Oryctolagus cuniculus: one gene and its partner. The protein of the gene in region 1 purifies or fractionates together with the protein of each later gene. This does not show direct contact. Links are inferred from orthologs where the notes say so. Each region holds a gene or a part of one and is shown on either strand. Other genes may lie near its edges. The genes, in order: ATF2 and ATF1.

Evidence for each region.
Region 2: the proteins of ATF2 (region 1) and ATF1 purify together in Homo sapiens (affinity purification with mass spectrometry; 3 studies listed by BioGRID and IntAct, with this or other methods). This does not show direct contact. The link is inferred for Oryctolagus cuniculus from reciprocal best matches to the Homo sapiens genes ATF2 and ATF1.

The regions. Positions count from the first base shown.
Region 1 is NC_091434.1:65,969,982-65,981,976, reverse strand, and holds the start of ATF2 (cyclic AMP-dependent transcription factor ATF-2), read right to left. Parts: upstream 7,371-11,995; 5' UTR 7,320-7,370; exon of another isoform or gene 7,089-7,319; intron 6,950-7,088; exon of another isoform or gene 6,864-6,949; intron 1-6,863. UniProt on the Homo sapiens protein: Transcriptional activator which regulates the transcription of various genes, including those involved in anti-apoptosis, cell growth, and DNA damage response.
Region 2 is NC_091442.1:53,795,191-53,807,449, reverse strand, and holds the end of ATF1 (cyclic AMP-dependent transcription factor ATF-1), read left to right. Parts: intron 1-2,776; coding exon of another isoform or gene 2,777-2,811; intron 2,812-7,479; coding exon 7,480-7,624; 3' UTR 7,625-8,963; downstream 8,964-12,259.

The DNA of each region.
Region 1 (11,995 bases):
ATGAATTTCAACAATAATCATCAGTATACCTTACACCGGATACTCACTGAGTTTCTGACTCTGAAAGCACTGTATATACATTATTTGAATGTTCACAACAAAGCTAAGTATTATTCTCCTTAAAGATAAAGAAACTGAAGCATGGAAACATTATATAATTTACTTAACAGAGCTAATAATTAAGTGGTGGTCTCATGACAATCTGGCCCCTAATAACTACTCTAAAGCATTGATTACATATTCACCATGTGCCAGAAGAAGGTACTGAGGAAACAAAAGCCCAATTTGGCTACAACATAGACATTCTTCATTTAAAGGGTTACTGATATGGAAATTATAGTTTGTCACTTTAAGTCTTAATAACACATAATGACAAATACAGAAATCCTATCAAATCTACATTTCAGAAAGTAGCATTTAAATTAAAACAAACAACCAGCATAGACATTCAATGTGCAAACTGTGTAAAATTGCACAAAATTTAAGGATTATTGTTATTAGGCTGTCTAAAGTTTCAGTAAAGCTTAGGAGAAATAAGGTCAGTGAATTTACAGAAAATACAAAATACTCAATATTTGTTTCAAAAGATCAGTTGTAGATAACTAACTTCAGAATGATATAGTTAACTAAATAATTTAAAAATTGCTAAATGGGGGTCAACATTGTGGCACAGCAGGTTAAGCCACTGCCTACATCAGCATCACAAATCAGGCAACAATTAGTGTCCTGGCTGCTCTGCTTCCTATTTACTTCCCTGTAAATGTGCATGGGAAAACAGTGGAAGATGGCTCAAGTACTTGGACCCTGCCACCCACATGGGACCTGGACAGAGTTCCAAGCTTCTGGCTTAGGCCTTGGCCATTATAGCCATTTGGGGAATAAACCAGTAGGTCAAAGAACTCTCTCTGCCTCTCCCTGTCATTCTGCCTTTCAAATAAATAAAAAGTTTTAAAAAATAAAATTGCTAAATAATACAACTTAATAATTCCCAGTTAAGAAATCACATCTTACTAATAACTGCCAACTCTAAAGTTGGCAAAATTATAACAAAGCTAGTGCATTAATAACCTGTCAACAGTGTAAATTTCATCAACTCTGAAGAGTTGGCAATTTGGCAACTGGAGAAACAGTTTTAAATCCTTGGCCAGTAATCCCACTTGAGATTAGTATTCTATGGAAACAAGAAAGAAAAAGACACATGCACAGAAACATCCAAATCAATATTCAAGTAGTCAAAAACCTCAAAATTATGTCCCTGTTGGGCATGTAAAACTGAGCGCACTTTGATAGTGATTTTGTTAACTATCATATAACTATCAAGTATAGTTTAATATATATCTATCAATTATAAAGCTTAGAGAACATGGGAAAATACAATGTTACAAAAGTAAAAACTTTTCTATGATATATTCGGTAACAACTACAGTACATGTACAACAGAAGGATGCAAAAATAGTCATTTATTAGTATGGCAAAATGAGTTTCCAATAACGCTGTTCTAAAAAGTATTCAACCAATACAAGAAAACATGTTAGCTCAAACTATAATTAAGAAAAGCAAAGCTTTAAAATTTGAAGACCAAGGCCAGCACTGTGGCTCAGCAGGTAAAGCTGCTGTTGAGATCTGCTGCACCAGCATCCCATACGGGTATAGGTTCGAGTTACAGCTGCACTGGTTCCAATCCAGTTCCCTGCTAATGTGCTGGGAAAGCAGTAGAAGATGGCCCAAGTGCTTGTGAGAGACCCAGAAGCTACTGGCTCCTTGCTTTAGATCAACCCTGCCTAGGCCATTGCAGCCATTTGGGGAGTGAACCAGTAAAGATCTCTTTGTCTTTTCCTCTTTCAAATAAATAAATCTTAAAAAAATAAAAATAAAAAAAATGGGGGGCCGGTGCTGTGGCATAGCGGGTTAAAGCCCCAGCCTACAGAGCTGGCATCCCATATAGGCACCGGTTCGAATCCCAGCTGTTCCTCTTTAGATCCAGCTCTCTGCTATGGCCTGGGAAAGCAGCAGAAGATGGCCCAAGTCCTTGGGCCCCTGCACCCACATGGGAGACCTGGAAGAAGCTCCTGGCTCCTGGCTTTGGATTGGCCCATCCCAGGTTGTTGTAGCCATTTGGGGAGTGAACCAGCAGATGGAAGATATTTCTCTCTGTTTCTCTGTCTCTCCCTCCCTGTAGCTCTGTCTTTTAAAACAACACAATATTCTTTAAAAAAAATTTAGGGAACATATTTATAAATTTAAAGGGGCCTGCATTGTGGCATGGTTGGTGAAGCTGCTGCCTGCATTGCCAGCAACCCATATGAGTGCCAGTTTGAGCCTCTGCTAATGGTTTGGGAAAGCAACAAAGGATGGCCCAAGTCCTTGGGTCTCTGCACCTAGGTGGGAGACCCAGATGAGGCTCCTGGTTCCTGACTCTGACCTGGCCCAGCCTCAGCTGTTGTGGCCATTTGGGAAGTGGACCAGAGGACAGAAGATCTATCTCTATGTAAACTGACCTTTCAAATAAAAAAAAAATTTTAAGGTTAAGATTATAGATGAAAGTGGTCACATACTACCAAAATAACAAAAGTCCATTTGGTCTTTTGCCAATTATACAATTATTCCCACCCTATCTTTCACTGCCAATCTTGTTCAGAATCTCTGTGATAATAAGCCACCACTACTATTGATAGTATATCCTATTCCTTGGTTGTTAAGGCAAAAAAAAAAAAAAAAAAAAAAAAAAAAAGTTTGAGGCCCACTATCTGACTTAAGGTATGTTAACACAGACATGGGTGAATAGGCCAAGATCTCACAGCATTTTATTTGCATTCCCTCTTACTGTAAAAATGTTTAAATCAATATACTACCATGGCCAAAATGCTAAGACGAAAAAAATTATCACTAAGATTTTTAAAAAATGAATACACTAGTTTCAAGGTGGTCAACAAAAATGAAGAGATCTAAAATAAATATACAGATTTATAATTATATTTTATATTTAATATGAAAAATACTCATAATTATTGATGACTTTAACAATTCTGGATATTCTATGAAATGATACTAATTTTGGCCGGCGCCGCAGCTCACTAGGCTAATCCTCCACCTTGTGGCGCTGGCGCACCAAATTCTAGTCCTGGTTGGGACGCCGGATTCTGTCCCGGTTGCCCCTCTTCCAGGCCAGCTCTCTGCTGTGGCCAGGGAGTGCAGTGGAGGATGACCCAAGTCCTTGGGCCCTGCACCCCATGGGAGACCAGGAGAAGTACCTGGCTCCTGCCATTGGATCAGCGCAGTGCGCCGGCCGCGGCGGCCATTGGAGGGTGAACCAACGGCAAAAAGAAGACCTTTCTCTCTGTCTCTCTCTCTCACTATCCACTCTGCCTGTCAAAAAAAAAAAAAAAAAAAAAAGAAGAAAAAAGAAAAAATGAGTGGAATACTTTAGCAAGTATGGTGGAATTGTTTGATATCACAACTTATCAGCAGAGAATAAATAATTAGAAATGAAGTTTTTCAGGGCCGGCGCTGTGGCGCAGCAGGTTAACGCCCTGACCTGAAGCACCAGCATCCCATATGGGTGCTGGTTTGAGTCCCAGCTGCTCCACTTCTGTTCCAGCTCTCTGCTACAGCTTGGGAAAGCAGTAGGGGATGGCCCTAGTCCTTGGACCCCTGCACCAACATGGGAGACCTGGAAGAAGCTCCTGGCTCCTGGCTCTAGATCAGTGCAGCCAGCCGTTGCAGCCAATTGGGGAGTAAACCAGCGGATGGAAGACCTCCCTCTCTGCCTCTCCTCTCCTTGTGTAACTCTGACTTTCAAATAAATAAATATACCTTTAAAAAAAAATCAAGTTTTCCAAAATGCAAAAATTTAGAGAGGCAGAGACATAAAGAGAGCTCTCATCTTCTGGTTCACTCTCTGAATGCCTGCAATAGCCGGGACTTGGCCATACTGAAAGTTGGGAGCTAGAAACTCAATCTGAATCTTGTCTTCCCTCATGGGTGGCAGAATTCAACTATTTGTAATAATCCATTGTTATCCTAGGTGTTCATTAGCAGAAAGCTGGAGTTGGGAGTGGAGTGGGACTTGAACTTAGGCAGTCTGATATGTGATATGGGTGTCCTAAGCAGTGTCTTAACACTAGGCTAAATGCCCATCTCCAAAATAAAAAATTTAAGTAGAAGCGTAGATGACTTCTTCTAGTTAATGCTAATTAAAGATAGTAGATGTTTGATGGACAACACATCTCTTCAATTTTTTACTTATTTGACAGTCAAAGAGACAGAAAACACTCCCATCCACTGGTTCACTCTCCAAATGCCCACAGTGGCCAGTGGTAGGGAGGGTCAGGAAGGAATAACACCAGGATCCAGGAACTCAATACAGGTCTCCCATTTGGGTGACAGGACCCAACAACTTCATCCTTCACTGCTGTCTCCTAAGGTCCACATCTGCACAAAGCTATAACATGGAGCTGGAGCTGGAGCAGGCAATGGAACCCAAGTAGTGTGATGTGAGATATGGACATCCTAACCGGTATCTTAACTGCCAGGCCAAATGCCCAATCTAGCATATCATTTTAAAAAAATACTCATTTAACTTCCAAATCCTGAATACCAATGAAAAGTACTCCCTCAATTTTTTGTGAAGGAGTTGCAGTAATAACTATTTCTACAGTTTAGTTAAAAAATAAAGATGGGGGCCAGCGCAGCAGTATAATGGGTCAAGCTGCCGCCTGCAATGCTGACATCCCACGTGGGTGCTGGTTCAAGAGCTGGCTGCTTAATTTCAATCCAGCTCCCTGCTAACATGCCTGGGAAAGTATGCAATAATGGCTCAAGTGCTTGGGCCCTTGCACCCACATGGGTGACTTGGAAGAAGCTCCTGAATCCTGGTTTCAGCCTTGCCCAGCACTGAGCTGTTATGGCCATTTGGGGAGTGAACCAGTGGATAGAAGATCTCTCTCCCTCTCTGTCTCTTCCTTTCTCTGAGTAACTCTGTCAAATAAATAAATAGATATTTTTAAAACATTAATAAAAAATAAAGATCTAACCTACTGGTTAAGATGCCATTGTCCCATATACAGGGGTTCCCAGTACCCAGGTTTGATAACTGGCTCCAGCTTCTGTTTCCAATTGATGTAAACCCCAGAAATCAGAAGTGATGGCTCAAGTAGTTGGGTCCCTGCTACCCACATGGAATACTTGGACTGAGTTCCTGTCTCTTGGCTTCTGCCTGGCCCAGTCCCAGAGGTTGTAGGCATTTGAGGAGACAACAAGCAGGTGGGAGTTCTGTCTCTCTAACAAACTTCAAAACAAATTTAATGAAAGAAACCAAAATCCCACATAAAAAAGTTAATGAAGGAATTTCTGCAATGTTTTTGATAGTACAGTGCCCCAAATACAAAACCAACATTCTAATAAGGTATTTGAAAAAGAGTTTACATGAAATTCTACCAGATCTACATAGGCATTACGTACCTTAAACACACAGAAAAAAAAAAGTCCCTGAAAACTCCAGACAATTAAAATTTTAAAAACTTAAGTTCTAAACTACACATATACATTTCAATTTAAAAAAAAAAAACAGCAGCAACATCCTCTCAAGTCAAGATTAAACATGTCTTAGGAAGGCAGCATAAATATCACTGTAGATGTGGAAGATTCTTGCAAATTATTTTACAAAGACCAGCATTCTCAACTATTGACCTTAAAGATCCATGAGCTTTGTTAAGTCTTTTTGACTTGCAGAAGGGTGTAGTGTATTTTTTTTAACATACTTTACAGAAAGTTCCCATCATTTTGATAAAAGTGTTTACAGTCGATTCTTTAAACCAATGAAACAAACTGTGTTTCTAGTTCAGAGTTCTTTTGACAAGGCTTTATAAACAAAGTCTTACCTTCATAATTTCGGTACAACAGATCTGGGCTACTTGGCTATTGAACATTATGCCTAATATGGTTATTACTGACACTGGCAATGCCAGTGGTTACGAATTTCTTCAAGTAAGAAGTGTGCTCAGAGAAGCAGTTTTTGTTCTGATTTCAAATATATGCATTAAGTATATACATGGTGACTGCCTCCATAATTCATAACTTTCACATTATAATTTAGGATTAGTCAATAGCCCTGAGGTCCATCAGGGGTAATTTATTTTGCTCCACCGTATTCGAGGTAATTTTATACTACCTGGGAGTACAAGTCGTCCCCTGCCCCTCCTCCTCAGTCCTCCTCCTAGCTTCTGATCTAGGAACCAGCATACAACACACACACATACACACACACACACACACATATACACCTCGTCCTCTCTCAGTCCTAGACCCTAGGGTACCGATTTAAAAAAAAAAAAAAATCCCCATAGAAGATCTGTAGTCCACCCAGGGAAGCAAACGAAGAGGGAAAATACCAGAATCAGTCTGCACCCACACCTTGGCCCCGCCCCACCTGGAAAAACTGGGGGGTGGCGGGAATGTGAGGGTGGCAGAAAGGACAGAAAGGGCCGCGACTCCAGGCTCCCAGGCTCTCGCCACCATTCATTTCGTCAGGTTCCGCCGAAGGCAGGGACCCTGACCCTATTTTCAGCCTCGCCTCGCGATCCTCCTCCCCGCCACCATCACAAACCCACGGTCCTCAACCGCAAGAGTCCTGCGTGGAGAGAGACCATAGTGGGCCCTGCTCCTGCCCAATCCAAGGGCTGAGACGGGGGTGTCTCCCCCCGCCCCGCGCACTCGGCGGGCCCGACGCCCCGGGGGCCCCGGAACCGACCAGGGAAAGGGAGGCAAGATCGGAGGGAGGGGTCTAAGGGGAGCCGTTATCCCTTTTTCCTCTTCGTTAGGAAAGCGCGCGAGAGGGAGGGGCCGGAACAACGAACGCCAGTTACCTAACGGTCCGGCCCGGCCGGTCAGGCTCCCGACGCGGAAGCCGCGCGCGCCGCTGAGATGGCAGCACAGCCTCGCTCGCCCCCAGGGCTAGGGACCACGGCAGGAGCGCCAGGGGTGATGAGGCGGGGGATGGGGACTATGGTGAGCGACGTCGCCATGTTAGCGCCTTCTTTCTCTTTCCCTACGGTCGCCAGCCCTGCGGCCCTCTCCCCATCACTACTCACCTTTGCAGGTCACTGGCTCATGATCCTTTCGGTCGCCCAGGAGCCCGAGGACAGCCGTGTTTACAAACTACCCCGGAGGAAAGGGCTGAACCGCACTTTAAAGGCCACGGGCTCCCACAGGCTTCCGTCCTCTCTCGCGAGATCAGACTGACAACCCTTCTCTCCGCCCCACTCCCAGCATCCCCCCTTTCTTCTCGCGTCCCGGCCCGCCACGCACACGCCCCTTCTTGCCTTCCTTCTGAGGGAGCGCCTCCGGGTCAGGTGATTCCGTCAAGCTTAAGGAAATGGGCGGGCCCTCAGGAGGGCGGGGACGGAGGGGGCGGGAACAAAAGAACACCCGGGCGCAGATGATTGGAGAAGGAGCCTGAAGGGCGGGAAGCAGTTCTGGAAGGGGCGGGATCAGAGAACCCAAGGAGCGTCGTCTCGGTAACCCTGGAGCTGCGGAAGGCTGTGATTGGCAGCCAGCTGGAGGCGGGCGCGGGTGCTGGGGCGCCGGAGCAGGTGGCTGTGTAGGGCGCGGGAGGGTGTCGGGCTTGGCTTGTGAGACACGGCGAGTGGCTGGAAAGAAAGCAGGACGCGTTCTCCGAGCCCAGCTCTGAGATCTCACCCTATTTCCGTTGCTGTCACTTCCTGGCCCCGGTAGGGAGGTGGGAAAATCGAGGGGAGGGGAGCCTCTAGCCCACCTCCCAGCTACCCGGAAGACTGGGAGGGGGAGCTTCGGTTCGGCTGAGATTTGGGAGAGGCGGAGTTTGCCGATAATCAAGCAAGAGAAGTGGGTTCTGAAACGAAAAGAAAAAGCCTTTACCTTGGATGAGTTTTCTTTGAATTTACTAAGCTATAACTGGAACTGGGTTTTCGGAGTTCTTTTTCCCAGCACCTAGTACAGTGTAGGATATTAGCATGTAATTTTGTTTGAAGTAATTTACCAAAATACACTGTATTTCCAGTATATCACCATCATTTAAAAACTAAGCAACGACTTGTTTCTAAGAGCAAAGCCTCCATATTAAGTGTATTCTATTTTATTATTTTTCCTTTTACAGATAAAAATATATCAATTTTAATAGAGCTGACTTTAGCCCTTTAAAACTGCAACAACCCCCTATTAACGTTTCCTAGAGGACCAAAAAACACCAAATTAGAGTATGACATGGAAATAGCACCCTTCTTTGTTTCTCTGCCTCTTACATAAGTAATAAGACAACTACATACCACATTGGAGTACGTGGTTTGCTTCCTGCTAATGGACCCTTAGTGACAACAGTGATGGCTTAAAATCAGGTTCCTGAGCGCACATGGGAGACCTGGATTGGGTTCCCAGCTCTTCCTGTGGTCCTGGCCCAGCCCCAGGCATTGCAGGCATCTGAGCAGTGAACCAGTCTATCAAATAAATAATGAAAAATTTAAAAAGCAAGCAGTTCCTGCTTGTCTGTAGCTAAATATAACCCAGAATACTATACACTAGGGTATCTCCTATGTCTGCATAACTCCTATGTCTTGCCTAACTAATCTGTGGCTGAGGGAGAGAACCTCTGGATTTTCATGGTATCCTGAAGATGTAGCCTAATACAAGGGATTAATTGGGATTTTACTAGTGGGATCAAGAGGTAGGGAGTTAGAGGTGTGTGTGTGTGTGTGTGTGTGTGTGTGTGTAGTGAAATAGCAGGGGGAAGCAAGGCATAAATAACCCCCTGAATCTGAGATGAGATGAGGCAGCATGGACCTAGACAGTTTAGTTGATTTGTTTCGTAGCTTTCATCTCATGGCAGATCTTTCTTGACCCACTCTTGACAGCCCAGGGTTTTCCTGAACATTCCTGACATGGCCCATGTTAAAGTTACCTCCTCAGCACATGTCCACTTAGAAATTTCTACTTAGGACATTTCAAGTGCAGAGATGTCCAATCCAAATCCTTGGGTTATCAGAAAAATGTATAGTCAATTGTGTCACTGTGGGAAAAAAATTAGAGAGCTGTACTCACCTTCAAATCATACCCATGAGCTATGCCAGCTTCAGTGCAACCAGCCCAGAGAGGGAGAACAGAATTTAAGATGGCTTTTTCTTTAGCTCTCATCTGACTCTATAGAAAGAGGGATCACCTTCATTATATTCTGCTCTCCCCACACTTCCAAGGTATCAGTAAAAGTGGGTGAAACCCTCCCTAGTGTAGAGTTGTGTAGCATCCGAGTATCTACCCTTTGTGGCTCCCAGTAACCAGTCTATTTGTCAAGTTGAGGCCTACATAATGACAAAGCCATGGATTCCTTATGCCAGAAACCAAGACAGGTCTGTCTGGTCCTGTGGTTCCTCCTGGGTCCTTGGAACTAACACCCTGTTCTTTCCAATTACCTTCTTCCCTTGCATACAGCCTCTTAGGTCAACTGTCAACTGACTTCTCAGTGTCTGTGCTCATAAAGCATCTGTATATATTGGCATGAACATGCCATGCACTGTTCCTGGCTGTGAGGCTGCCACTATAAATAAGATGAAGTCCCTTAAGGAGACTTTGTGGCGTGAGGAGGGATGAGGAGGCACATGACATACATCAACAAAAAGATAATTTAATAGTGGTTAAGTACCACGGAGAAAATAGGGTATGATAACAGGGAGTACTGAAAGCTATGTTGTTTGACAAAAAGAGAACTTGAGAGTAACAGATACTGTAGAGAGGTCTAGTGAGGGGGGCAGTTCTGTGAGCTGTTCCCAGAAAATACTGCTGTTTCCAGCATCTGAGACTCGGTCAACCTATGTAGCTATTTGAGGAGGCAAACCCTGGGACTCAACTATAACAGGAGATCCTGGAATCCCCGTGGCTGGGAAGTGCTGACTAAAAGCTATTGTAGAAAAGCAGCCACTGCCAACAACCATTGATCCTCAGTCCCTATGAAGATCAGCTGTGGGATGCTGGCTCTTGCTAATAGGAGGGACAACCAAAGCCCTAGGATTTATGAGTCTCTGCTGGGACTTAGGCCAATTATGAGTCCCTCTTAGGCCAAGTCCTTTCTTCAATATTTGAGCTCCCTTGAGAAAGAAGACCTAAGTTACTAAACATTCCAGAGATACATTACTTACGTCATTCAGGAGAAAGTACAAATTCTTGCTGGGAACCAGGACCAGTTTTTAGAGATTATAAACAGATTGATGGCTGAAAGTATGTGACCTAGAGTGATAAGGGTGGGAGGGACATGGATATGGGTAGGGGGAAGAGGAGTATAAATAAATTCATGCCATCTGCTTTTTAAGTAATCTATAAAAACAAAGGTATTTAAAAAAATAAATTCTGTACCCATGATAAGTTTTTGCCTCTGTAAACTATCAAAGCAAGTCAAGGTATCATGTTGCTGTTGGCAGAGACAGAATGCAACTATCATATGTGCTGAGGCAGAGGATGGTATTAAATGCGCCCCCCCTCAAAAAAAAAGTTGTCCTTAATGGTGGACCATGTGTTTGAGTCCTAAGTACATCATAAGATCAGTAGACTAATACCATGAAAGCTAAACTTAGCTTCTCTCCAAGATTTTGAACTCTGAAATTCTTTAAATTTCTTGTCTCTTGGCTCTTACAAAAATGGGTGTTCAACCTGATTGAGAACCCTGGGCCCTCGAGTCTTCTCTTTTATTCCAATTTCTTACCCCTATTACCTTCACCTGTTCCTTATCCTGTTTGGAGTTCATAGGTCAGTCTGTTGAACACGGTGCCTGTATGCCGCTTCGGCCTTCCTCCATTTCTTCTGGCCAATTCCCAGCCCGAATAATTTCTATCACTGTGCACCTCAGTTCACATTAACAAGCTTCCCAACACTGCTGGAGAGTCACAAAGTAGGTCAATGAGTTTCACTACAAATTCACATTATCTACCTGGAGTTGGGTCCTTACTGGTCCTCTGCAGTGCATTTATTCACATCTCCATACCACACACCATACCTTTCCTCTTCCCAAGCCCAGAATCCATATGTAAAATTATACCTCCTCTATTTTTTTAAAAATTCACCATTTCACCCAACTAGCCTTTTCCTTGTCATCCCTACAACAGTCACATAAAAAAACCAAAGCAAAGGTTTTAGAATAAAAGAAGGTCTGGCTTTGAATCATGACTTGGCCACTTAGTATCCATGTGACTCTGGGAGTTAACTCTTCTCGAGCCTATTTTTCTTTGCATATTGAAAATGAAAAAAAAATCCCAATTTTGCAGGATCATGATAAGGGTTAAATGGCTGTATATGAAGGGTCTTCACAAAGTCTATGGAAAATATGACTTATGAAAAAAAACTATGCATGGGTTTCAGAATTTTATACCTAAAATTATTCAATTCCATTTTCCTAGGAATTTTAAACTGTAGACCAAACAGGATAAGGAACAGGTGAAGGTAATAGGGGCAAGAAACTGGAATAAAAGAGAAGACTCAAGGGCCCAGGGTTCTCAATCAGATTGAACATAGATTTTTGTAAGAGCCAAGAGACAAGAAATTTAAAGAATTTCAGAGTTCAAAATCTTGGAGAAAAGCTAAGTTTGGCTTTCATGGGATTAGTCTACTGATCCTATGAGAGGCAGAGAGGGGAGACAGATGCTCCCATCTGCTGGTTCTCTTCCCGGATGTCCACAATGGCCTGTGCCTGGCCTGAACCAGGAGCTGGGAATGCAATCCAGGTTTCCCACATGGGTGGGTGCAACCTAGTTACCTGAGTCATTATTGCTGCTACTCACCGGCAGGAAGCTGCAGTCTGGAATTGAACCCAGGTGCGAATCTTGACCCCAAGGTAAATGTATGCTCTTTCCACTTTTTTTTAAACTTATTTATTTGAAAGATTTAGAGATCTTCCATCCACTGGTTCACTCCCTAGATGATCTCAAAGGCCAGTGCTGGGCCAAGCCAAAACCAGGAACCAGGAACTGCTTTCGTCTCCCAT
Region 2 (12,259 bases), on another chromosome or scaffold:
CACCCTGGGACACCCACATTCTAAATCAGAGTGCCTGGGTTCTGTCCCACCTCTGCTTCCCGTCCAGTGTCCTGTTAGTGTGCACCCTGGGAGGCAGTGGGTGACAACTCAAGTACTTGGGTCCCAGCCACCCATGTGGGAGACCCAGATTGAGTTCTTGGCTCCTGGCTTTAAAAATACATATTTTTATATTTTCAGTCCATTTTGAAAGAGAGACCGAGAGGGAGATTTTGCATCTTTTGGTTCCCTCCTCAAATGCTCACAACCCTACAAGAGCTACTGCTGGGCCAGGCTGAAGCCTGGAGCCGGGAGCTGAGTGTGGGTGGCAGGATCTCAAGTACTTGAGCCATCAGGAAGCCAGGGAGCCAGGACCAGCACCAGGCACTGCAGTATAGGCTTGGGTGTCCCAAGTGGTGTCTGAACCCATGCAGCCCTGGCTTTAGGCCTGGTTACTGCAGGTATTTGGGGACTGAACCCATGGATGTAAGAACTCTCTTTCTGCCTTTAAAATAAAGTGAAAATAAACAGTTTAAAAGAGAAATAAACAAAATGAGTAATGAAATAGAATAGAGAACCCAGAAGTAGATCTGTGAACACAGGAGGCACTGATACGACAGGGCAGGTAGTTGGACTCAGCAAATGATGCTAGGCGATTGGTAACTCACACATGAACACATACTGGACTTCTTCCTCACACTTTATACAGGAATCATTCCAGATGGATTATAAACTTAAATATACAAGATGAATTTTTTCTTTTTTTTTTTTTTTGACAGGCAGAGTGGACAGTGAGAGAGAGAGACAGAGAGAAAGGTCTTCCTTTTGCCGTTGGTTCACCCTCCAATGGCCGCCACGGCCAGCGCGCTGTGGCCGACGCACCACGCTGATCCGAAGGCAGGAGCCAGGTGCTTCTCCTGGTCTCCCATGGGGTGCAGGGCCCAAGCACCCGGGCCATCCTCCACTGCACTCCCAGACCATAGCAGAGAGCTGGCCTGGAAGAGGGGCAACCAGGACAGAATCCGGTGCCCTGACCGGGACTAGAACCCGGTGTGCCGGCGCTGCTAGGCGGAGGATTAGCTTGTTGAGCCGTGGCGCCGGCCTACAAGATGAAATTTTAAAACCTTTAAGTGATGCTGGCGCCTCAGCTCACTAGGCTAATCCTCCGCCTGTGGTGCCGGCACCCAGGGTTCTAGTCCCTGTTGGGTTGCCGGTTCTGCCCCGGTTGTTCCTCTTCCAGGCCAGCTCTCTGCTGTGGCCCGGGAAGGCAGTGGAGGATGGCCCAAGACTTGGGCTCTGCACCCGCATGGGAGACCAGGAGGAAGCACCTGGCTCCTGGCTTCAGATCGGCACGGTGTGCTGGCTGTAGCGGCCATTTTGGGGGTGAACCAACAGAAGGAAGACCTTTCTCTCTGTCTCTCTCTGTCTCACTATCTAATTCTGCCTGTCAAAAAAAAAAAAAAGACAAAAAACCTTTTAAGTGAAAGTATATCATCCTATATTTGATTTCTTAAGGAGGACAAATACATACATAAAAATTAAAAGAAACATGAATTAATTTTGTTGCACTGAAATGAATAACTTCTGTTCATAAAAAGATAACATAAGGGGAATGAAAATACAAACTGTAGGTCTATGGAAGATACTTGTAACTTACCTAACCAGCAAAAGATTTTTTTTGAAAACAATACAAAGACCTTGTGAATCAATAAGGGGAAAAAAAAAGGCATAGCAAAATATATGAATGGTTAATAACCATACAAAAGAGCAATCAAAGAAATGCAAATAAATACCACACACTTAGATACTACTTATACCAACCCAGCTGGCAAGCATTTTAAAGTGTAAAGAGGAGTTGTCAGGATTTAGAACCACAGAACTTAGATACTGCTATGGGCCTGACACAACCACTTTGGAAATGAATTAGGCCTTACCTTGTGCAGGTGACCTGGATATCTTATGACTTGACTGCTTTGTATGTGACTGAGAGACTTGCAGAAGTATGCATAAGATGTTTATAGCAAAAATCAGGGAACAACCCAAATATCCGTTGATAAAAGAATGGATGCAGAAGTTGGGACTGATTTTATACTATGCAGTACTTTCCATTTGTAAGGATTGAGTGGTCATTTCAACATGAATAAAGCTTAGAAAAATGAAAGTTAAGTGAAAGAAAGAACTTGCAACAATATATAAAGTGTAATATTTTATGATCTTGGAAAATTAGGAAACCAAAGATGATTTACTGTGTGGAGTCAGACGTACGTACTAGAGCTGTGACCGTGAGCAGAGAGTTGAAACTAGTGATTGCTGATGAGCCGGAGACCAGAGTACCGAGGGCTGCCTCCCCGTACATGTGATGTGTCCTCTTGAGTATTGCACGTATTCACCCTCATTTTATTTGCTGTGCTTCCTAACATATATCCGTACCACATGGGCTTTTTTATGTGTATACTGCTTCATAAGAAACAAATGTTTAGAATCCACAGTGATTTTTAAGTAAATTTAGTAAGACGTTAGGATTTTCCAGAGAAACAGATGGCTCACCAGATTATATACTGAGAAACCCCATAATATCCCTTTCCATAATAATATGGATAGCCAGTTTTGTAGCTCAGCCCAAGGCTGATCAGGGGTGGGGACAGGGGCACAGGTGTAAGTCCCAGAATCTAAAGGTCAAGGAAACACGAGTGCTGCTGATGGCCAACACCAGGAAACCAGGAGTGTCCAGCTCAGGTCTTGAGAATTCACCTTGCCTCTGCTTTTTTGTTCTATTCAGGCCCTCAGCGGATTGGATGATGGCCACCCACAATGGTGAGGGTGGATCTTCTTTACTTACACATTCAAATACTAATCCCTTCTGGAAGCTCCCCCGCAGATATGCCCAGAAGTAATGCTTTACCGGCTCTCCTGGGCATCCCTTGGCCCTGTCAAGTTAACCCACAAAGTCAGCCATCACAGGTGTTCTGCTGCTGTTTGTAACCATCTTGAAAATAACAGTGGGAAATAATGCTGCATCCATATTAATGACAAAACGTGAAATACCTAGGAAGAATTTAATAGGAAAGGTATAAAATCCATTTAAAAAATCTTGTAACTAAAACTGTATCTGAACAATTAGGAAATATACTGAAATATATTGTTTAAGAGAGAGACAGTTAATATTGAGTATCAGTTCTTTCAGATTTTGCATGTAAATTCAGTGTAGTTCAAACTAGAATCTATACATTGTTAAGGAAGTAGACAAAATAAGCTGAGAGTCTACATGGAAGAAATAAGTATTCAAGAAGAGAAAGAGGTTACTTGTTTTATTTTTAAAATTTATTTATTTATTATTTGAAAGGCAGAATTAGAGAGAGAGAGAGAGGTCTTCTATCCGCTGGTTCACTCCCCAAATGGCCACAATGGCCAGTGCTGGGCCGATCTGAAGCCAAGAGCTGGTAGCTTCTTCTAAGTTTCCCACATGGATTTAAGGGTCCAAGGATGTGGGCCATCCCCTGCTGCTCTCCTATGCCGTTAGCAAGGAGCTGAATCAGAAGAGGAGCAGCCAGGATTCCAGCTGGCACTCATGTGAGATGCTGGCACTGCAGGTGGTGGCCTAACCCTGTACAGCACAGCGCCGGCCCCATTGTTTTATTAGGCACTGAAATAATCCAGTAACATCAAAATCAGCCGTGGGTATCTTGGTATCTGCACAAGAACAGAGAGTAATGTTATTAAATATGGCGCAGCTCAGAAGTACCTTCTTTGCTATTAAGTACATTTGCAAGGTTACTTTAGTTTTGACTAACGATGTTGATACAACTAGCCCCACACTTGAATGAAATTAAGTTGGACCCCTGTTTTGTTTCTTAGGCAGAGAGACAGGCAGAGATCTGTATCCACTGGTTCACACTCCAAGTGCCTGTAACAGCCAGGGCTAAGCTAGACTTAAGTCAGAGCCCAGAACTCAATCCAGATCTTCCATAAAATTGGCAGGGACCCAAGTACTTTAGCCAATACCTGAGGCCTCCTAGATAGTGTGTTAGCAGGAAGCTGGACTGGAAACATCAGCCAGGATGCAAACCGGGCACTCGTTATGGGACATAGGCATCCCAAGTGACAGCCTAGCTGCCATGCCAGTCTTCGGATCAGCGCAGCTCCAGCATTGCGGCCGTCTTGGGGGTGGACTAGCGGATGGAAGGCTTCTCTCTCTCACTCGCTCTCTGCCTGTCTGTAACTCTGCCTTTCAAATAAACAAATAAATCTTTATTTAAAAAAATGGGGGGTGGGGGCCGGCTCTGTGGTACAGCAGGTTAACGCCCTGGCCTGAAGCGCTGGCATCCCATATGGGCACCGCTTCTAGTCCTGGCTGCTCTTTTTTTTTTTTTTTTTGACAGGTAGAGTGGACAGTGAGAGAGACAGAGAGAAAGGTCTTCCTTTGCCATTGGTTCACCCTCCAATGGCCGCCAGGGCCGGCGCACCGCGCTGATCCGATGGCAGGAGCCAGGTGCTTCTCCTGGTCTCCCATGGGGTGCAGGGCCCAAGCACTTGGGCCATCCTCCACTGCACTCCCTGGCCACAGCAGAGAGCTGGCCTGGAAGAGGAGCAACCGGGACAGAATGCGGCGCCCTGACCGGGACTAGAACCCGGTGTGCCGGCGCCGCAAGGCGGAGGATTAGCCTAGTGAGCCGCGGCGCCGGCCTCTGGCTGCTCTTCTTCCAATCCAGCTCTCTGCTGTGGCCTGGGAAAGCAGTAAAAGATGACCCAAGTCCTTGGGCCCCTGTACCCACATGGGAGACCTGGAAGAAGCTCCTGGCTTTGGATCGGCACAGCTGTGGCCATTGTGGCCAATTGGGGAGTGAACCAGCAGATGGAAGACCTCTCTCTCTGTCTCTACCTCTCTCTCTAACTCTTTCAAATAAATAAAAGTAAATCTTAAAAAAAAAGGAAACCACTAGAAAGACAACCTAGTTGATAGATAAATGAGCAAGTGTAAGTGAATTGCACATTTACAAAAAACCAGACCAATACACTCTTGAAAAATATGCTCGTCCTCATAAGTAGTGAAATAATTAACAAGATGTCACACGGCAGAAACTCAAAAGTGACTGCCATTGAGTACATAGAGAAAAGGTATTTCACGTACATTAGTGAGGGAAATTGTGGTTTTTTTTTTGTTTTTTTTTTTTTGTTTTTAAGATTTATTTCTTTTACTTGAAAGAGTTAAACAGAGAAGGAGAGGCAGAAAGAGAGAGAGAGAGAGAGAGAGATCTTCCATCCACTGGTTCACTCCCTAATTGACTGCAATGGCTGAAGCTGCGCTGATCCGAAGCCAGGAGCCAAGAACTTCTTTCGGGTCTCCCACATAGGTGCAGGGGCCCAAGGACTTGGGCCATCTTCCACTGCTTTCCCAGGCCATAGCAGAGAGCTGGATCAGAAGTGGAGCAGCCAGGTCTCAAATCAGCACCCATGTGGGATGTTGGCACTGTAGATGGTGGCTTTACCCACTATGTCACAGCACCAGCCCCAAAATTGAAGTTTTATAATACATAGTCTTTGACTCAGCAGGTCTGCTTCTGTGTGACAAGATACCATAACAAGCTTAAAACTATGTCTTTTACCTGTGAAAAATATTTGCATCTATCTCTCTCTATATATATCTAGATCTATAGATCCATAGATCTATATATACAACTATATATAGGTGTCTATATATCTATATCGATATAGATATATATATATAGATGTATATATCTGTATCAATATAGATCTATAGATAGATCTATAGATATATATATAGATATCGATATAGATAGAGATCTATAGATATATAGATCTATAGATAGAGATCTATATATAGAGAAAGAATTATAGCTTATACAGTCCTACCTGTATCTGTACAGCCAAATGTAATAGGTATATAAATAGATTTATTTCTGTAAATAAATGTGAGATCTAAGAAAAGAAAAAAATACATAGCCTACAAACATGAAATCACATCAGACTTTTTGCATAATCAAGAAATGGGAATTAAAGCAAGAAGATACAAGTTTGTAGCCATTAGACAAAAATTTTGTAATTTTTATAACATCAGAAATTAGAGAAAGTGAAGAGAAGCAGATATTCCGAGTGTAGTGCTGAGAAGGATATACATTGGTAGATGCCCTGGAAGGAAATTTGGCAGCATCTCTTGATTTAAATGCATATAGTTTGAGACCCCACATTATATATGACAGGGGACATGTATAGGATATTCACTGGAGGCCTCTTGGAAGTCTTTCTGGGAGGTGTTGGTTAATAATTACAGGTCCTACGCACTGCCTTGAAAAATAGAGATCTGTGTACTAACAGAAAGATCGTTAAAACAGCATGTGTAGAACGTGTTGCAATTCAGATTTACATATATGGTATAAAAAGCCAAAGGTAGCATCCACCTCTTTATAGATACTGGGTAACTTGATGTGCCTTCCCAGAAGTGTTCTAAGAGGATCTCACAGAACTGAGTGTTGGCTCAAGCACTGTTTTTATTTTTATTTTTTTAAACACATGGGTTTTCTTTCTTTTTAAAAATTTTTTAGAAGATTTTATTTATTTGAAAGGTAGAGTTACTGACAGTGAGATGGAGAGACAGAGAAAGATGTCTTCCATCCATCCACTGGTTCACTCTCCAAATGGCCACACGCCTGGAGCTGAGCCGATCCGAAGCCAGGAGCCAGGAGCTTCTTCCAGGTCTCCCATGCAGGTGCAGGGGCCCAAGGACTTGGCCATCTTCCACTGCTTCCCCAGGCCACAGCAGAGAGATAGATCGGAAGTGGAATGCTGCTGGTGGAGGCTTAGCCCACTATGCCACAGCACTGGCCCCTCAAGCATTGTTTATAATTCAGACTTAATAACCAGAAATTGAAGAAGTTATGTGAACAATTAACCAGAAGACCCTTAAATTTTACTCTCTGGTATTTATTCAAGAGAAATGAAACCTAAATCTACAAAAAGATTGGCACACAACATGCATGGCAGCTAACGCTAGAAATAGCCCAAGAGAATACATAAATAATTTATATTTACACAGTGGAATGCATTCAACAATATAAAGGACAAACCAGCATGCAACAACATGGGTGAACCTCAAAACTATGTTGAATGGAAGGCAACCCAGACACAAGAGAACCTACTGACACTGTTGCCTGAGGTTCTAGAATAGGAAGAACTGAGCTGCGGTGACAAAATCAGACTAGTGGTTGCTTGGGAAAGCACTGACTGAACCTCCTGCGGCATTGGACATGTGCTGTCTCTCCAGGGGTACAGGTGATGCAGGCATGGGCGTTTGCCAGAACTGGTTGAATTCTACTCTTAAGATCTGTTTACTTTGCTGTATGTAGGTAATACCTTAAGTTTTCAAATGAGGGGGAAAAGGGGACCAGGTAAAATTACAGAAGAAAATTTACTATTTAAAGAATGTAAAGTTGTTTTCTAACATTCAAAACAAATGTTTATATTTAGAGAAGCTGCTCGAGAATGTCGCAGAAAGAAGAAAGAGTATGTGAAATGCCTGGAGAATCGAGTTGCAGTTCTGGAGAATCAAAATAAAACTCTGATAGAAGAGTTAAAGACTTTAAAAGATCTTTATTCCCATAAAAGTGTTTGATTCTTAAGAAAGAAAGAAAATATTTTTGTGGACTTGCCTAAAAATTAGATGGATTTCTTTTTAGCAGAGTTTTATAAATTAAAAGGTCAAAAGTGAAGCTTTTTATTTAGGTTTTTGCAACAAAGATATCTTATGCAAGAGATGTGTCGACAGGATTAAGTGGAAAACAACCTCAAGGAAGCTCTGGGCACAACTGGAAGCTGTGTAAAAATTAAACTCAAGAACCAAGAAGCAGGCATTTTCTAAATAACAATGGTGTCAACCCAGAAATACAAAAAAGATGAAATATGGTAAATTGAATTTTTAAAAATAAATCAATTTACCCTATAGGTTTGCATTTCTTATTGTTTCCTGAAATTTACCTTTTTTTCAGTTGTGTGTGTGTGTGTGTGTGATTTTTGCCAATAAATTCTAAATTACAATTGTAAAAGAAAACCTTAGTACATTACTAAAAGATAAATTATGTTTTATGATTATATATGCTTGTTCCATTGTCAGGTCTTTTAAGTGAGTTTTTTTTTTTTTTTTTAAAGTTTATTTGTTGGACTTGAGAGGGTTTTTGAAACTGGGTTAACCATTTTGAGGTCTTGTCCTAAAGCTATCTAAGGTACATGAATGGAGTGTGGTGATTTTATAACTTTTTTTTTTATCAGAATGGAAAGAAAACTGTTTAATAGTTTAATGTTTTTAAATTGGTCCTTGCTTACTCTGGTAATGGTGATTTTCTACAAATATGTAATAAATTTTTTTTGATTCTGTATTCTGTATGCAGTTGAATATCCATTACTTATTCTGTGTGCTTTAATAGAATGGAATGTTTACAGGCCCTTAAAATATATTATTTTTAAAAAAACCTGAAGATGCATACCAAAGTTTTTCCAAGAGGATTTTATAGTCAATGTAAGGTTTATCAGATCTTAAAATAGTACGATTATTAAGGTAATTTTATGTTAGAGACTATTTTGTAATGTAGTGAATGGTACCTTTATAAGAAAAGTGACTGCCAATATATTTTTATAGCTGATCTTTATAAATTCTAATATTGAGTTTTTAATGATTATTTTAAATGTTTATATAGTTTGTTTAGTAAAAAACATTTGCATCTCAAAGTATCATTTTTATATTATGAGAGTAAAGTTTTCAGATTGGCTAATATTTGCATTGTAAGTTTTATATGCAGTTTATCTAAAGAGAAATGCTGTCAGTACATACACCTGTGTTTAACCTCTCTGTATTCCAATTTGTATACACTTTGAAATTGTACCGCGAAACTATTGTGTGCTTCTATACAATATGTATCATATTGTCCATGAAATTAAAAAGAATTTGATAAAATTAAGTTTGCTGGACGTAAGCTGATGCTTTATGTGTGGGTGAAGGCTTACTGATAGCCTGTGTTAAAGATACTAATGACGGCGGTTCTAGTTTTTTAATGAGGTACGTTTGCAGTTAGTTCTGGAGGATTATGGTTGTATTTTTTGTTTCCATCAGACCAGTTGGAGTAAACTCAGCTAACTCATGGTTAAAGGAGACTGTTACATAGGCAGTCTTTAACTCATACATTTATGATGGATCCCCCTGTAGAATCCTGTTACTCAAAAGGCATTTAAAATAGGACAACGTTGACTTGGCTGCCGCTGTTGAAGTGTGATCACCAGAACGCTAACGTCACTTAATACCGCGTGTAAAGCCGTAAACTCAGCCAGTGTCCCTGAGGCCTCAGGAGCAGAGGGAGGTATATGCTCACTGGGTTGTGTCAGAAGAGTGTCTTCTTAATAAAGATTTATTTACTGATGTGAAAGGCAGAGTTAGAGAGGGAGAGGAAGAGTTTACTCTCCAGACGGCCGCGGGGGCCCGGAGCCTGGCACGCCATCAGGGTCTGCAGCCGCATTAGCAGAGAGCTAACCTGAAAGTGAAGCAACTGCGCCGCGAGCCGGCCCGCATAGGCAGCAGCCGACAGTGCTGCGCCACAAAGCTTGTCCCCAGCAGTTTTCATCGTGTCAAGGGTGAGCCACGGGGCCAGCGCCTGCAGTGCCGGCATCCCATATAGGCGCTGGTTCGAGTCCTGGCTGCTCCAGCCCTCTGCTACGGCCTGGGAAAGCAGTAGAAAATGGCGCCCCTGCACCCGCTTGGGAGACCTGGAAGAAGCTCCTGGCTCCTGGCTTCGGATCGGCACAGCTCCGGCCATGCGGCCAGTTGGGGAGTGAACCTCTCTGTAATTCTGCCTTTCAAATCAATCAATAAATCTTCAAAAAAAAAAAAAAAAAAAAAGATGATCCAGCTCTTTGTGCTGTAGTAGTTGCATGTTGTCAGGTATTTGTAAACTCTGCTGCCCCAGACTTCTGGTGTAAAGTCTTGCTCACCAGACCCAATTAGTGCCTCTGGATGTGTACAACAGGCCTGGGCAAGCCGCTGAGGCTTCCTTAAATGCACACCGAATTGCTTTCCTGGATGTTTTTCTAATTGGAATCCAGTGTGGGACTTTATAACTTTTTCAAATGATAAGAGTACAGACATGAATTCGGACTTCCAAAATGCAAGACTAATGGAATTATTTCCTTAGCTTAGTATTTTACTTAGTAAATCATGAGTTTATAAGTTTACGTATTGCAGGGCTGCTATTGTGGCACAGTGGGTTAAGCCGCCACCTGTGATGCCAGCATTCCCTATCGGAGTTCCAGTGTGAGTCCTGGCTGCTCCACGATTGGCCACGACGGCCGGAGCTGCGCTGATCCGAAGCCAGGAGCCAGGAGCTTCTTCCAGGTCTCCCATGGGGGTGCAGGGACACAAGGACTTGGGCCATCTTCTACTTTCCCAGGCCTCAGCAGAGAGCTGGATCAGAAGTGGAGCAGCCAGGACTCGAACTGGCACCCATATGGGATGCAAGGCAGCAGCTTTACCCACTATGCCACAGTGCTGGCCCCTCTCCCTGTCTTTCTGTAATACCTTCAAATAAATATATTTTTTAAAATTCATGTATTGTGTTGATGGAAATAGATTATGGCCCACAGACACATCAAGGGCATATAATAAGATGTCTCTTTAATTTTATTGAGCATGGTCATTGATTAGAGCTTTGGAAATCTTGTATTTATTCTTATACCAATTATTACACCAATTAGACCAGGTTAAATCTGTATTTTTTCCTGTTAAATATGTAGACTTTGTAGGGGCACAAGGTACATAGTATGGCTCGGAATCATGCAATCAGTTGTCATAATGGCAGTTCAGAGACCCAGAAAGATGCTAGAAATTGATACAATGTGTGTGAAGTTTAAGGGCTTGATAGTGAACTTAAAGGGACAGTCACAGGTATAATCAAATATACAGTGTCATCGTGTTCAGTAGTTAATGTCAGCATCTCAGTCCCGAGTGCCCGAGTTCAAGACCACTCCAGGGTCAGTGCTGTGGCTTAGTGGGTAAAGCCACCGCCTGCAGTGCCGGCATCCCATATGAGTGCTGGTTCAAGTCCTGGCTGCTCCACTTCTGATCCAGCTCTCTGCTGTGGCCTGGGAAAGCAGTGGAAGATGGCCCAAGGCCTTGGGCACCTGCGCCCACATGGGAGACCGGGAAGAAGCTCCTGGCTCCTCGCTTTGGATCAGCACAGCTCCAGCCGTTGCAGCCATCTGGGGAGAGACCCTCCCCCCCCGACCTGTCCTCTGTGTAATGGTGACTTTCAAGTAAGATAAATCTAAAAAAAACAAAACAAAACAAAAAACTACGGTCTCCTGCTCGCTGAGACTGGGGTGGCAGCAATGTTAGCTCAAGTAATTGGATCCCTGCTGCCCTTGTACTCGCCTCCTGGCTCCAGCCCCAGCCCAGCCCGTCATCATGGGCATTTGGGGAGTGAACCAGTGGATGGGAGCTCTGTCTGCCTCTGAAGGAACAGAAAGCCATAGCTTTATAAGATCTATCAAAATATAACTGTGATAATCATATAACATCATTTGCTCATATATATATATATATATATATATAAACTTTTACTATAAAACAGTGAAACAGGGCCAGCGCTGTGGCGCCTGGAGTGGTCTTGAACTCGGGCACTCGGGACTGAGATGCTGACATTTCAACTACTAAACACGATGACACTGTATATTTGATTATACCTGTGACTGGCCCTTTAAGTTCACTATCAAGCCCTTATTCTCCGCCCGCAGTGCCAGCATCCCATATGGGCGCCAGCTGCTCCACTTCCGATCCAGCTCTCTGCTATGGCCTGGGAAAGCAGCAGATGGCCCAAGTTCTTGGGCCCCTGTACCTGCGTGGGAGACCCAGAAGAAACTCCTGGCTCCTGGCTTCGGATTGGCCCATCTCTGGCCATTTGGGGAATGAACCACCGGATTGAAGACCTCTCTCTGTCTCTCCCTCTCACTGTCTAACTCTCTCAAGTAAATAAAGTCTTTTTAAAAAACTCTGAGATAACATTTACATCAAGGTTGTAGAATTCAGAAGCCTGTTGTAGGGAGAGTTTGGCAGGAATCTTCAGGGGACAGTCACTTTACTTCCCTTCCTTCCTTTTTTTTTTTTTTTAAGATTTATTTATTTGAAAGAGTTAGAGGGGAGAGACGGAGAAAGAGATCTTCCATCTGCTGGTTCACTCCCCAGATGGCTGCATTGGCAGGGGCTGGGCCA